3 linked regions of the Mus musculus genome follow. The protein of the gene in region 2 purifies or fractionates together with the protein of the main gene of each other region. This does not show direct contact. Links are inferred from orthologs where the notes say so. Each region holds a gene or a part of one and is shown on either strand. Other genes may lie near its edges.

Region 1 (3,191 bases), on a different chromosome or scaffold from region 2:
AGGCTCAGAGAATGGAAGGGGAGTGACGTGTCTAACAGACATCTGAGTGAGTTCCTGGCAGCTGGAGTATGCTTGCTAAGTCCATTGGACCAAGACGAGCCTAGGTTAGCAGCACACATCTCTGTGGTCTAAGGAGGCATTTCCAGAAAGGGAAGATTCAGCCTGAATGTCCCCGATACTACCCAACAGCCTGAGGAGCAGGTAGAATAAAAGCAAGAAGAAACCCACTAGCCCCAAAACGAAAGGTTTCTCTGCTTCCCAGATACCATATTGTCTCTGCTCTGTTCTAGCCTGCCCTCTAACCCCTACACCCCACCCCCAGCCCTGATGGAGTGAAGCCATGTCGTTCTTCCATTGAGGTGTTTAAATAGTTTGTCACAGGGAGGAAAAGCTAAGCTCACACAGCGGGGAAGTAGCATTCTCCAAATGCTGCCCCACAGTGGGGGAATACGAGTCACACACACACACACACACACACACACACACACACACACACACACACCACAATCCTGGACAACCCCAATTCCCAAAAAACTTTATTCATTGTTTCAAGTGGTAAAATGTCATTGGTCTCTGTGGGGCACCTAGTGGGGCAGAGGGAGACCTGGGGTGGGGCTTGGGGTGGGAGCCCACCCATTACAAAAATCAAAGGCTTTTATAAAAATGCTATAAATTGGTATCAAAAGAAAACCCAAGGGAGGCAGAAGATGGAAGCAAAGAGGGTAAAGGGAAGAGACTGAGGGAAGGACAAGACCTCCCACCACTGGGCACGGGAATCCAGTTGGGGGCTGAAGGGGTGCAAGAAGTTGGGACGGTGATACAAAGTGCATAAATGTGCCTCCCAGACACTCCTCAGAAGTGGAGGGGAAAGGAGGCTGCAGTCTGAGCCCTGGTGGGGCTCCAGCTGTCTCCTCACTTGGGGACCCCACAGGAATGGCACTGCCTGAGACTGCCAGATGGGAAGGACCTGCATTGGGTGGAATAGAGGACAAAGGTCAGAGAAGAGATGAGGCCCCTGCTTCCTCTGCCCTCTGGACATCCTGATTCCCTCATGAGAGCCCAGTGCTGAGGAGGTCCCTGCTAGGACCTCAGGTTAGAAGCTCTAAGCTGCACAGTCTAGCTCAACACATAGGGGCAACCACAGCACCTGAAAGACTGTCCAACACATAGGATACAGGCCGGTATGGAAGCCCCTCCCCCTCTTCAGAGCCAGGATAAACACCAGCCTTGGGAATAAACTTAGAGGAGCCAAGGGACCTAACCAGGTCTCCCTTGTCTCCTCCAACCTCTCACAGAAAGAGGGGACCTAAGGGCTAGAAGAGAGCACAGGACAGGGCCTCCCAAGTTCTCCATACCAGGCGCTACTCTCCCCCAAGCCCAGAAGCACAGCCTCACCTTGGCCCCTGATCAGATCTTTTTCTTTTTTAGCTTCAGGGCTTGCAGCCAGTTGGGCGACGATCCTTCTGACCTGGAAGGCAGAGTACAAAGGTCACAAAAGCAAAGTTTAAAGAAACTGAACAAGGTGAGAACAGCTACCCTCCAATCAAAAGAGGCAGTCGGGTTCAGTTGCAGGTCTGGGTGCCCCTACGTAACATGAAGCAATTAATTTCAGTTTTCCACCTCTATAAAATAGGTTTCCTCTTCTGAGGATAATACCCGAACCACAGGAAATAAAAAAAGTACCTAGAAGTGTTACTTACCCTGAGGATTTTTCTGGCTTTGGGGGTAATGTAAGGGGCTTCCCTAGCCCTGGGACCTTGCAGGACTTAGAACGCTGGACGGAAGACTCTTTCTGGCTTGATTTGCTCTCTGTCACCTCCCCCTCCTCAGCTGAGCGGTTCCGGGAGCGTAGCTTGGCCTAGGAGACACAGATGAAATATAAACAGGCAGCAAGATTCAGAAGACCAGGCCTTTCCCAAGAGTGTGCAGTCCCCTGAGCCAGGCCTGAACCTTCTACAGACAGCCAAAGATCTGTCTCCCTCAGAGCAGATCCTCACAGCCTGAACACATCAGAAAGATGACAGATGAACAAAATTCAGTGAACAAGGCTGAACAAAGAGGGGTGACTTCTCACACCTATGTTTTTACTTGTCTGTTCCTACCGCAGAGCCAACTCCTGTGCCTACCTCAAGGTTAGGAGAAACTGCTTACAAGAAACCCTACCCAAGCCACCTCCCGTTCCCAGCCACGGTCAGGAAGTAACTCCTTCTACTGAACAGGCCAGGCCATGGCTGTACTCCCCCCTTTATTCCTACATTTCGCCCTTCACCTAAGCTACTCCTGGGTGTAGACTATGCCCACCCTTCAACCCCCACCCATTACCCTGGAGGCCCTGAGATGAAAGAACACCCTGTTCTTTCTTCCATCAAACTTGGCACACTGCATAGAGTCGAGCAAGGAACAAGGTAACCTTCCAGAACCCACAATGAGAGTAGAGATGAGAAAAGGGACTATAAGGTGCATGGCTGTATGGATGGCTGGTTGGTTGGAAATGCTGGGTAGAAGGCTGGCAGGCCAGATGGCTGGGTGTGTGTGCTGAATGATCAGACGGTACCTTCAAGGCTGATGGGCTCAGGCCAGGAAAGAGGTTGACTTTCAGCCCTTTAGTGCCCAAGGACATCCGTGTCCGGCGGCTCTGAGGCTCCTCTACAACCTCCTCATCTGAAGATGGCACCCGGGAGGCCCTTGGCTCTGCAAACGTTAGGGAACGTGAATCGAGACCTGAGCAACATGCCAGACACCACCCTTACCCACACACAAGCCAGACACTGACACAGACTCCATTCAATTAACACACTGATCGTACCGGTTGAATCTTGGAACAGCCGAGTATCCGAGTCTGCTGTCTCTGACAGTCCCAGGGTACCCCCAGGCCGGATGGCTGGGGCCCGGTGCCCCCGCTTACGTCCTAGGTTGGCACGACTCCGATACATGGCACTATCAAGGATCTCAGTGTCCTGCTCAAAACAATAGCAACAGCATTGCTATTGCTGACCCGGAGCCCTACATCACCCCAGAGGAGCATCTCAACATAAACCAGGAGCTGATTGATGGCTGCTGCAGTTTCTTGTTGCCATGAGATACCCCACAGCCTATGTCTGTCTCCCATGACTGCTCAGGAAAGCTCTGAGAATGGGGCTTTGTCACCCACATACCCTGACCCCTCCAACAGCCCGTCCACCACGGCCAGC
Region 2 (3,646 bases):
AGCTGCTTCTGTGTGTGTGTGTGTGTGTGTGTGTGTTCAACTTAAGACCTTGTACATATTAAGCCAGCTCTACCATTGAGCTGAACTCTAGCTCCCATGTTTAGGTGCTTCACGGTTTACAGTTTGCACAGGATTTCACTGTGGATGTGTGGCATATATATTAAGTTACTGTGTTTTATCACTCGTTAAAAAGAATAAGATCAATAAAAAAGTATCAGGGTTGTTTTAGAAATCCATCAAAACAGGGTTTCACTCAGCTTTGCCCTGTGCCTCATGAACTGTCCTGTGGGGACTAACTGACTTTCCAAATAGGTTAGCTAACTGACAGCAACTAGGTCTGCTGTCTACTTGAGAGACTGCAAAAAACAGATTATGTGTGTAAAGTAGTTTGTGTTGTTTCCAGGTGAATGCTTGAGATGCATGTTCTGGAATAACCTTGGTTGTATCCATTTTGCCATGAGCAAGCACAATTTGGGGATTTTCTACTTCAAGAAGGCTCTGCAGGAAAATGACAACGTCTGCGCCCAGCTCAGTGCGGGTGGCACTGATCCAGGTGAACAAGCACTGGGGACCTGCAGTGTCCTCCTTGACACACGTGGTTGAAATAGCAAGTGTCGGGGAGGGATCTGGGCGTGGGTGATACATTCAGGGCTTGGAGGATGAGACAAGATGTCCTAATCAAAGGAATAGCAGTCATCCAGTGGGAGAGTAATTCCGGCCTCAGAGAGCAGAGGTGAGAGGTCCTGGAGCAAGCTGACCAGCTCATTCGGGAAGCTGCAGCTTAATGAAAAGGTCCTGCCTGCAAGAATAAGACAGAAGGATGACTGACGAAGATTCTCGACCTCAAGCTTGGGCTTCCACATGTGTACACACACACACACACACACACACACACACACACACGAAAACACATAGACATAGCAGAAAAAAAGAAAAGACCAAAACATTACATTACCCTCAGTTTGTTATGGACTTGAATCAGTAGTCCTGAGTGGTATGCCATCCAGTTCTGATTAGTCATTAGGATTTCTTGACTGTGGGCTAATATTATAAATTGTTGGCAGAACTTCACAAGTGATGTTTTGGTGGCATCTCAGAGCCTTAAAGCTGGCTGGAGAGATGGCTCAGTGGTTGAGAGCACTGACTGCTCTTCCAGAGGTCCTGAGTTCAGTTCCCAGCAACCACATGGTGGCTCACAACCATCTGTAATGGGATCAGATGCCCTCTTCTGGTGTGTCTGAAGACAGTAACAGTGTACTCACATAAAATAAACAAACAAATAAACAAATAAATAAATCTTAAAAAAAAAGCCTTAAAGAAACTTGCTGAAGTTTGTCATTTACGTTCAGATTATATGGATCTTTGATCAGAATTTAAAATCAAGCATCTTTGTAATTTTTAAAACCATAAACACCTATTTAAGTGATGAAAAATGTATTTTAAATGGCAAGTGGTAGTCTTGTAGACTCTGAGTCACTGAGAAAGTGTAGCATATGGTAACAAAGTGGCCAAGCGGTCTGAAGGAGGGCAAGGTGCTGTAGTTCAGAAAGCCAGTGACTCACTCAGCTCTTTGCCTCCCTGAAGCAACACTGCCAGAAGAGCTGGCCCAATCCTGGGCATTTGTGTCCTTCCTAGTACAGACATCTGACATGAGTGTCAAGTACTTGGGGAGCTAGGCATGGAGAAACCACCTCAGAGAGAACCATTACAGTGTCACATTGGAGTCACTGGTACTAAATATGGAAGTGTTTACTTGTCTATTCTCCACATTTTATCACAAGGCAAAAAGTTTTCTGGAAGACCCATGTGTACATTGCTGACCAACAAAAGATATGAGCTGCTCTACAACTGTGGGATCCAGCTGCTGCACGTCGGGAGGCCTCTCGCTGCCTTCGAGTGTCTGATTGAAGCTGTTCAGGTGTACCACGCGAATCCTCGTCTCTGGCTACGGCTGGCTGAGTGCTGCATTGCTGCCAATAAAGGGGTGAGTGCTGCTTGAGTAGCTCTTTGAGTCTCTGTTTCTCCTCTTCTACACTTGGTACATGGAAAGCAGAAGATACTTGGGACTGGAGAGATGACTCAGCGGTCAAGAGCACTGACTGCTCTTCTGAAAGTCCAGAGTTCAAATCCCAGCAATCACATGGTGTCTGAAACCATTCGTAATGAGATCTGACGCCCCCTTCTGGTGTTTCTGAAGACAGCTATAGTGTACTCACATATAATAAATAAATAACTTAAAAAAAAAAAACCTGGGAATCTAAGACCTCATTTCCATTTTCACTGCCACTGAATGTAAGTCTTCTGCTCACAGTCACTTGCTTAGCTGTAATTCTTGGCAAAGGTTGATGCCAGTGAGGAGTCTGTGTCAGAACAGTGAGGCGTGGTGGCTCCTGCTAGGGCTGCGCTGTGCCGTCTGTAAGCAGGAGGGTGGGCTCTGTCCCAGGGGTCAGAGCACCTGGCTCTGATGGAGTGTGCACAGGAGTGCATTAAACAGCACTCCCTCCAGTGAGGCACGTGACAGTCATGCATCTTCTCGGACACACCGGTCCTCAGTGTCTGAAACTGGGCTGCCCTGAGCTGTTCTCTCTCGGTCGGTAGCAGCCTCCTGAGTCTCTGGCTGAGCGGGGTCGGTGTGAATTGGGTGAAATAAGAATTACCAGGTGTCTGAGTTCCCCTCACCTCTCTTCCCTTGGTTTGTGAGGGGTGGAGCAGTTGGCTTCCTAAGGCTTGCCCGGCACACTTGTCTGACATAGGCTACGAAGGATACTGAGGCTCATTATTGAGCAGCATTTTCTGATGAGCAGCAGGTGAAAGAGCCAAGGGTTTAGAAGAAGCCTGTGCGGGGCAGTTTCACATCCAGGGTTTCAGAAGTTGACGTGAATGCAGCAGAGAGGGGACTAATGCTCTCGGAAGACTTTGATGATGTATTGAAAGTTAGAAGGGGGAGGGAGAGGAGAGAGCCAGGGCAGGCATGCACACATATGGACGAGTGCTGGTTCAAACTCAGAGCCTTGTTCATAACAGGAACGTACTCACCCTCTGAGCTGCTTCTTTAGCTCTATGCTTGGGGTTTTCCTTGTTAAGATTTATTTTTATGGATAGTGTGTTTTCCCTGCTTGTGTATGTGCTCACCACATTCGTGCGCAGCCTGCAGAGGCCAGAAAAGGTCATCAGAGCCCCTGAAACTTGAGTTGCTGTGTGGGTTGCTGGAAACACTGGGATTCCTCTGCAAGAGCAGCGAGTGCTCTAAACGACTGAGCCAGCTCTTCTGTACTTCAGGGGGGTTTTGTTTGTTTGTTTTTTAAAATTTATTTATTATATTACGTATACCGTAGCTGTCTTCAGACACCTCCAAAGAGGGGATCAGATCTCATTACTGATGGTTGTGAGCCACTATGTGGTGCTAGGATTTGAACTCAGGACCTTCGGAAGAGCAGTCAGTGCTCTTAACCGCTGAGCCATCTTTCCAGCCTCTGTACTTTAGTTTTTAAAAAAGTTTTTACAAAAGGCTTCAGGCAGGGGCTGGTGAGATGGCTCAGTGGGTAAGAGCACCCGACTGCTCTTCCGAAGGTCCAGAGTTCAAATCCCAGCAACCACATGGTGGCTCACAACCATCTGTAACAAGATCTGACTCCCTCTTCTGGTG
Region 3 (4,135 bases), on a different chromosome or scaffold from region 2:
CAAGCTTGAAGGGGCCTTAACTCAGGACAGGGGTACTTACCCAGGCTGTAAGAGGCTCTATTCCTGGAGGTGAAATCTTACCCACAAGCCATATGCCATCATGGGCTATTTTGCTCAAAGCTGTAATTTCTCCAGCCTGCTTCCTACACAGTGCTTGGCCAATAGCTACATGATAAATACTTCCGGTGTAATGACCTTCTAAGTGCCACTCCCTTCTCTGAACTCCTGTAATATTGGTCTATGTCATTCTTGAGAGACTTACCTGGACGCTTTCTTTGCTGGTGGCTGTCCCTGCAAGCTTTCACTTGACTATAAGCTCAGAGGCCTAGGGCACAGTTTCCCCTCAGATGTTTTCTGATCTCTTCTCAGGACCTGATATGACTCTAAACGGAGGGTGAGCAAGCCGTGTAGGGGGTTGTTATAAACAAAACGTGCAATTCTAGGGCTCCTGAGTTCTAGATAACAAAACAAAATTCACTCTTTTGAACAGCAAATTTCTGGTTGGGGCTGCAGTTAAGTGGAAGAGCTTAGCCTAGCCTGCCTGAGGCTCTACGTTCAATCTTCAGACCTGAAAACAAAGAGGGATTTCTGAGTCACTATATGATTCGAGAGAGATACTCATTTAGGGAAACGGGCTGATTCTCTGTACATAATGTAAAAAAGTATATGAAACAGCATTTATTGAACCCAAATGTTCTAGTCTTCTTACCCGGGTCTTTCCCACAACTACTCTGGTAGCTATGAAGTGCAGGCAGGGATCCTTATGGCTTATTCACTTGTCATCTTTTGGTACCTAAAAGCTGCCCGCCTGGTCCTGATAGCAGGTGTTCAGCAACAGGGGCGGCAGAGCCGGCTTCCCCATGCAGGTTCCGCTCGCTCTGTAGGGGCCGGGCCTCGTCCGGCGCACCAGTTCCGGGTCCGGGTGGGTTGCGGAGGGCCGGTCCCCTCCTAGTTTCGGCGCCTTCCGCATCCTCCGCCCAGGGGAACCAGTGAACCGCTCCACCCTCAGCTAGCCCGCGTCCTGCAGCTGCGAGAAGCGAGGCTGACAGTCAGAGGAGGGACGCAAGTAGACCCAGTCCCTCCGGAACGCCACAGCCCTGGCCGCGCAGGAGCGTTGCGCCTGGCCCGCCCCTCCTGAGACAGGACACGCCCACTCGACCACAGGGCCTGCCCCCGTCCCCGCCCCCCGCGCGGCGCTCCATACTTGGCGATCGCTGCGGCCCCGCGCTCTCATTGGTCGGGAGCTGGCGGCTGGGGGGCGGGTCGGGCTGGCCGGGGCGGGGAAGGAAGGTGGTGGCTGCCCGGCGCGGGGGGGTGGGGGGGGGAGGGGGGCGCTGACCCGGATGTTCACTCTTGGGCACCCGGGGAAGTGGAAGCGCAGGGCCCTGCTGCGGGGGGGAGAGCCACAGACGCCGGGACAGGGACCGTCGCCGCCGCCGCCACCATGGTAAAGGGACCCCTTCACGGCTCCATCCCGGGACCCCTCTCACCGCCGGAGCTCGCGTCCACTCCTTCGCCGACCCGCCCGGCCCGGGAAGGGTGGGGATCCGGGGTGGGGGAGGGGCGGGGTCCCGGACCCTAGGCAGACGCCACTCTTCGGGTCCGGAGTGGGCGGCGGGAGGCCCTGATAGCCTATGACCCCGCCCTGGGCTCCATGTGGAGCCCAGTTCTTCTCCCTGCAAGTCCAGGCTAGTCTCGCCTATCCCAGGCTAGACCTTCCTTCCTTCAGGGGCCAGGCCGGGCACCCCTCTCGCAGGCCTTCATCCCATGGGCTGTACTTGGGCTCCTGCCTCGGCCCCAGGGCCCAGGCTAGGACCGTGGTTCTCGCTCCAGTGGTCCAGTCTAGGTCCCCTTCCCCCAAACTCTTCTCCTCTCCATGGCCCCAGTCTGCACCCCGATAAGCCCTTTCCAGTGAACTCTGCCTAGGTTTGTTTCCTTCACCGTCATGGAATCTTCTCTCTGCGGTCGGTCCTCAAGTGTGGCCTCTCTACTCCAGCTGTGTTCCCCCCCTCCCTGCACCTCCCTGTCCCCGGCCCTAGCCGTCCCCTTCCCCCGACTTCTCACGACTTAGCCTAGCCTGCGTCAGCCCTTCGCTGCTCTCACCCTCCCATCTAGACCCTGCTTGTTCCGTGTCCTGCTCCTGACCCAGGTGTCCCCTCTCCTGTTCCTAGGAGGCTCTTTCTGGGCAGCCTCTGGCGAGCGGGGGAGAGCCCCAGCCAGGGTGGGGGTGGTCTGGGTACTGAGCCTTTCCTAGGTTTGCCCCTTTCTGGGGAGGCCGCTTCGGTGTGAGTGAGCAGGCGAGCGAGGGAGAGAAGGGCGGCATCTGTATGCCCGGAAGGCAGAACAGGGCATTTCCCTTGGGAGGGCCTAGTGGTAGTGCGGCTAATAGAGCGCGTCTTGAGGGGTGCCCTGCCTGAGTGGGGAGCAGAGTGCTGACGGGTTGGTAAGCCAACTGGACAGGGGTGAACTCACAATTGCTCTTGTGAGGCCGCAGCCCTGGGGCTAGGGGGACACGGAGCTCAGCAGCCCAACCTACGGCCTGGACACGATGCATCCTAGCAGGCGCAGCCTTCCTTTCCCCCTGAACTGTCAGCTTGTTAGAGTTGGGACTGCTGATTATGGAGGTGCCTCGGAGCAGGTGAGCAGAAACTCACAGGCCGGAGAGCTCCCGGACTCCACTCATGGTGTTTGTTTTGGTAATGAAGACAGGCACACTATGCTAGCAACTTATTTGAGGAGCCTTAGATGTGTCACTTCCCTCCTCCCCCATACCCCTGCACCCCCTAATCTACCTGGATACCTGCAGAGCAGGCCCACCATCTTTGGTGGTGGAAGGGCCAGAGAACTACCTCACATGGTCAAGGAAGCCTTGTAAGGTAGGCTGAGAGGGAAGGCAACCCACCTGCTCCGTGTAGCCTTACAGGTGGCTCCCCTCCTGCCTGGTCGATATTTAGGAGGGGATTTTGGACCCTAGATGGTTTTGAGGTACCCTGTGCCTTGTTTTAGCAAGGGTGCAGCAACTGTATTGGGGATGACTAAGTCTGATTGGCTAGTAAACTTTCTATATATTGATTAAAAGCATAGGCAAGACAGGTTTTCATGTTATTGCTCTTGGCTGGAAACGGGCCTGGGGGTCTGAACCCCTGACCTTAGTCTGCAGGGGGAAAGGACTTGTCCAGGACAGTTTTGGGTGAGATTCTTCAAAGTAGACTGAAGTTTTCTGTGTGTACTCCCAGCACCAAAGCAGGAGAGGGTGGTGGAGTGGCCAGATGGGACTTAGTCTCCACAGAATCATCTAGGCTTTCGCTTTGTCCATCTGACAGGTGAAGAAAAGCTGGGGCATTCATTGTAACTCATTCAAAATGTTGTTGCATCTGTGTGGAGAGCACTCTTGGCCAGTGGGAGCCTGCCTAGCAGCCTCCAGACTGCGGTCTTCCTTGTCTGCTGTTGTGTGTCTGATATAATGACACTGTTGAAGAACCATAATGATGGGATGGATGCTCAGGCCCAGCCAGGGAGAGCAAGTGCTTACCTCTGCAGACTCTGGGTGGCTCTCCTGTTAGGAAATGGCCATTTTGAGACAGGAGCATAGCCTATGGGCCTGATCCCCGAGCTCTTAGGGGACAGAGATGTTGGTCTTGTGTTTTCTGCCCCTGTCTATCTGGTCCTAGAACAGTACCTAACTCTGAAAGATCTGTCGTGGAAGGCTGGGCGTGGTGCCACATACCTGCAGTCTCAGCTGTTTAAGGCATTCAAGGCCAGCTTGGGCAACAGTGAGGGTGAGACAGGAGATTGCTTAGTGTGATCTGGGATGGTCTGTGAGCGCAGCCACCCAGGTTTGACACTCGTTAACTTGTTCTTCATGTACCCCAACCTCCTAAATGTTTTCTGACTGCCTACTATGCTAGTATAATCTGATGCCCTAATGTGGGTAGTTTGGGCAAACCAGAAGTGGCAGAGTGGGGCTGCATCCTAGGTAATGAATGAAGAGGACCATAGCTCTGTTTTCAGTGGGTTGGCTGGTAGAGCAAATGGCTAGCCAGCTCCAGTGTACCCATCAGGGGGAGAGATTTGAAGTGCATTTGACTTTGGAGTGATTTTTCTTGGAGTCAAGTTAACTGTCCCCAGTAAAAGT

The links.
Region 1: the proteins of Cnot10 (region 2) and Tnks1bp1 purify together in Homo sapiens (affinity purification with mass spectrometry; 4 studies listed by BioGRID and IntAct, with this or other methods). This does not show direct contact. The link is inferred for Mus musculus from reciprocal best matches to the Homo sapiens genes CNOT10 and TNKS1BP1.
Region 3: the proteins of Cnot10 (region 2) and Capzb purify together in Homo sapiens (co-immunoprecipitation; 3 studies listed by BioGRID and IntAct, with this or other methods). This does not show direct contact. The link is inferred for Mus musculus from reciprocal best matches to the Homo sapiens genes CNOT10 and CAPZB.

Annotation. Positions count from the first base shown.
Region 1 is NC_000068.7:85,070,373-85,073,563, reverse strand, and holds the end of Tnks1bp1 (182 kDa tankyrase-1-binding protein), read right to left. Parts: intron 2,958-3,191; coding exon 2,807-2,957; intron 2,692-2,806; coding exon 2,555-2,691; intron 1,859-2,554; coding exon 1,701-1,858; intron 1,469-1,700; coding exon 1,408-1,468; 3' UTR 1,396-1,407; intron 968-1,395; 3' UTR 516-967; downstream 1-515.
Region 2 is NC_000075.6:114,616,130-114,619,775, reverse strand, and holds part of Cnot10 (CCR4-NOT transcription complex subunit 10), read left to right. Parts: intron 1-403; coding exon 404-553; intron 554-1,781; coding exon 1,782-1,984; intron 1,985-3,646. UniProt on the Homo sapiens protein: Component of the CCR4-NOT complex which is one of the major cellular mRNA deadenylases and is linked to various cellular processes including bulk mRNA degradation, miRNA-mediated repression, translational repression during translational initiation and general transcription regulation.
Region 3 is NC_000070.6:139,191,582-139,195,716, forward strand, and holds the start of Capzb (F-actin-capping protein subunit beta), read left to right. Parts: upstream 1-1,317; 5' UTR 1,318-1,444; coding exon 1,445-1,447; intron 1,448-2,419; exon of another isoform or gene 2,420-2,548; coding exon of another isoform or gene 2,549-2,638; intron 2,639-4,135. UniProt on the Homo sapiens protein: F-actin-capping proteins bind in a Ca(2+)-independent manner to the fast growing ends of actin filaments (barbed end) thereby blocking the exchange of subunits at these ends.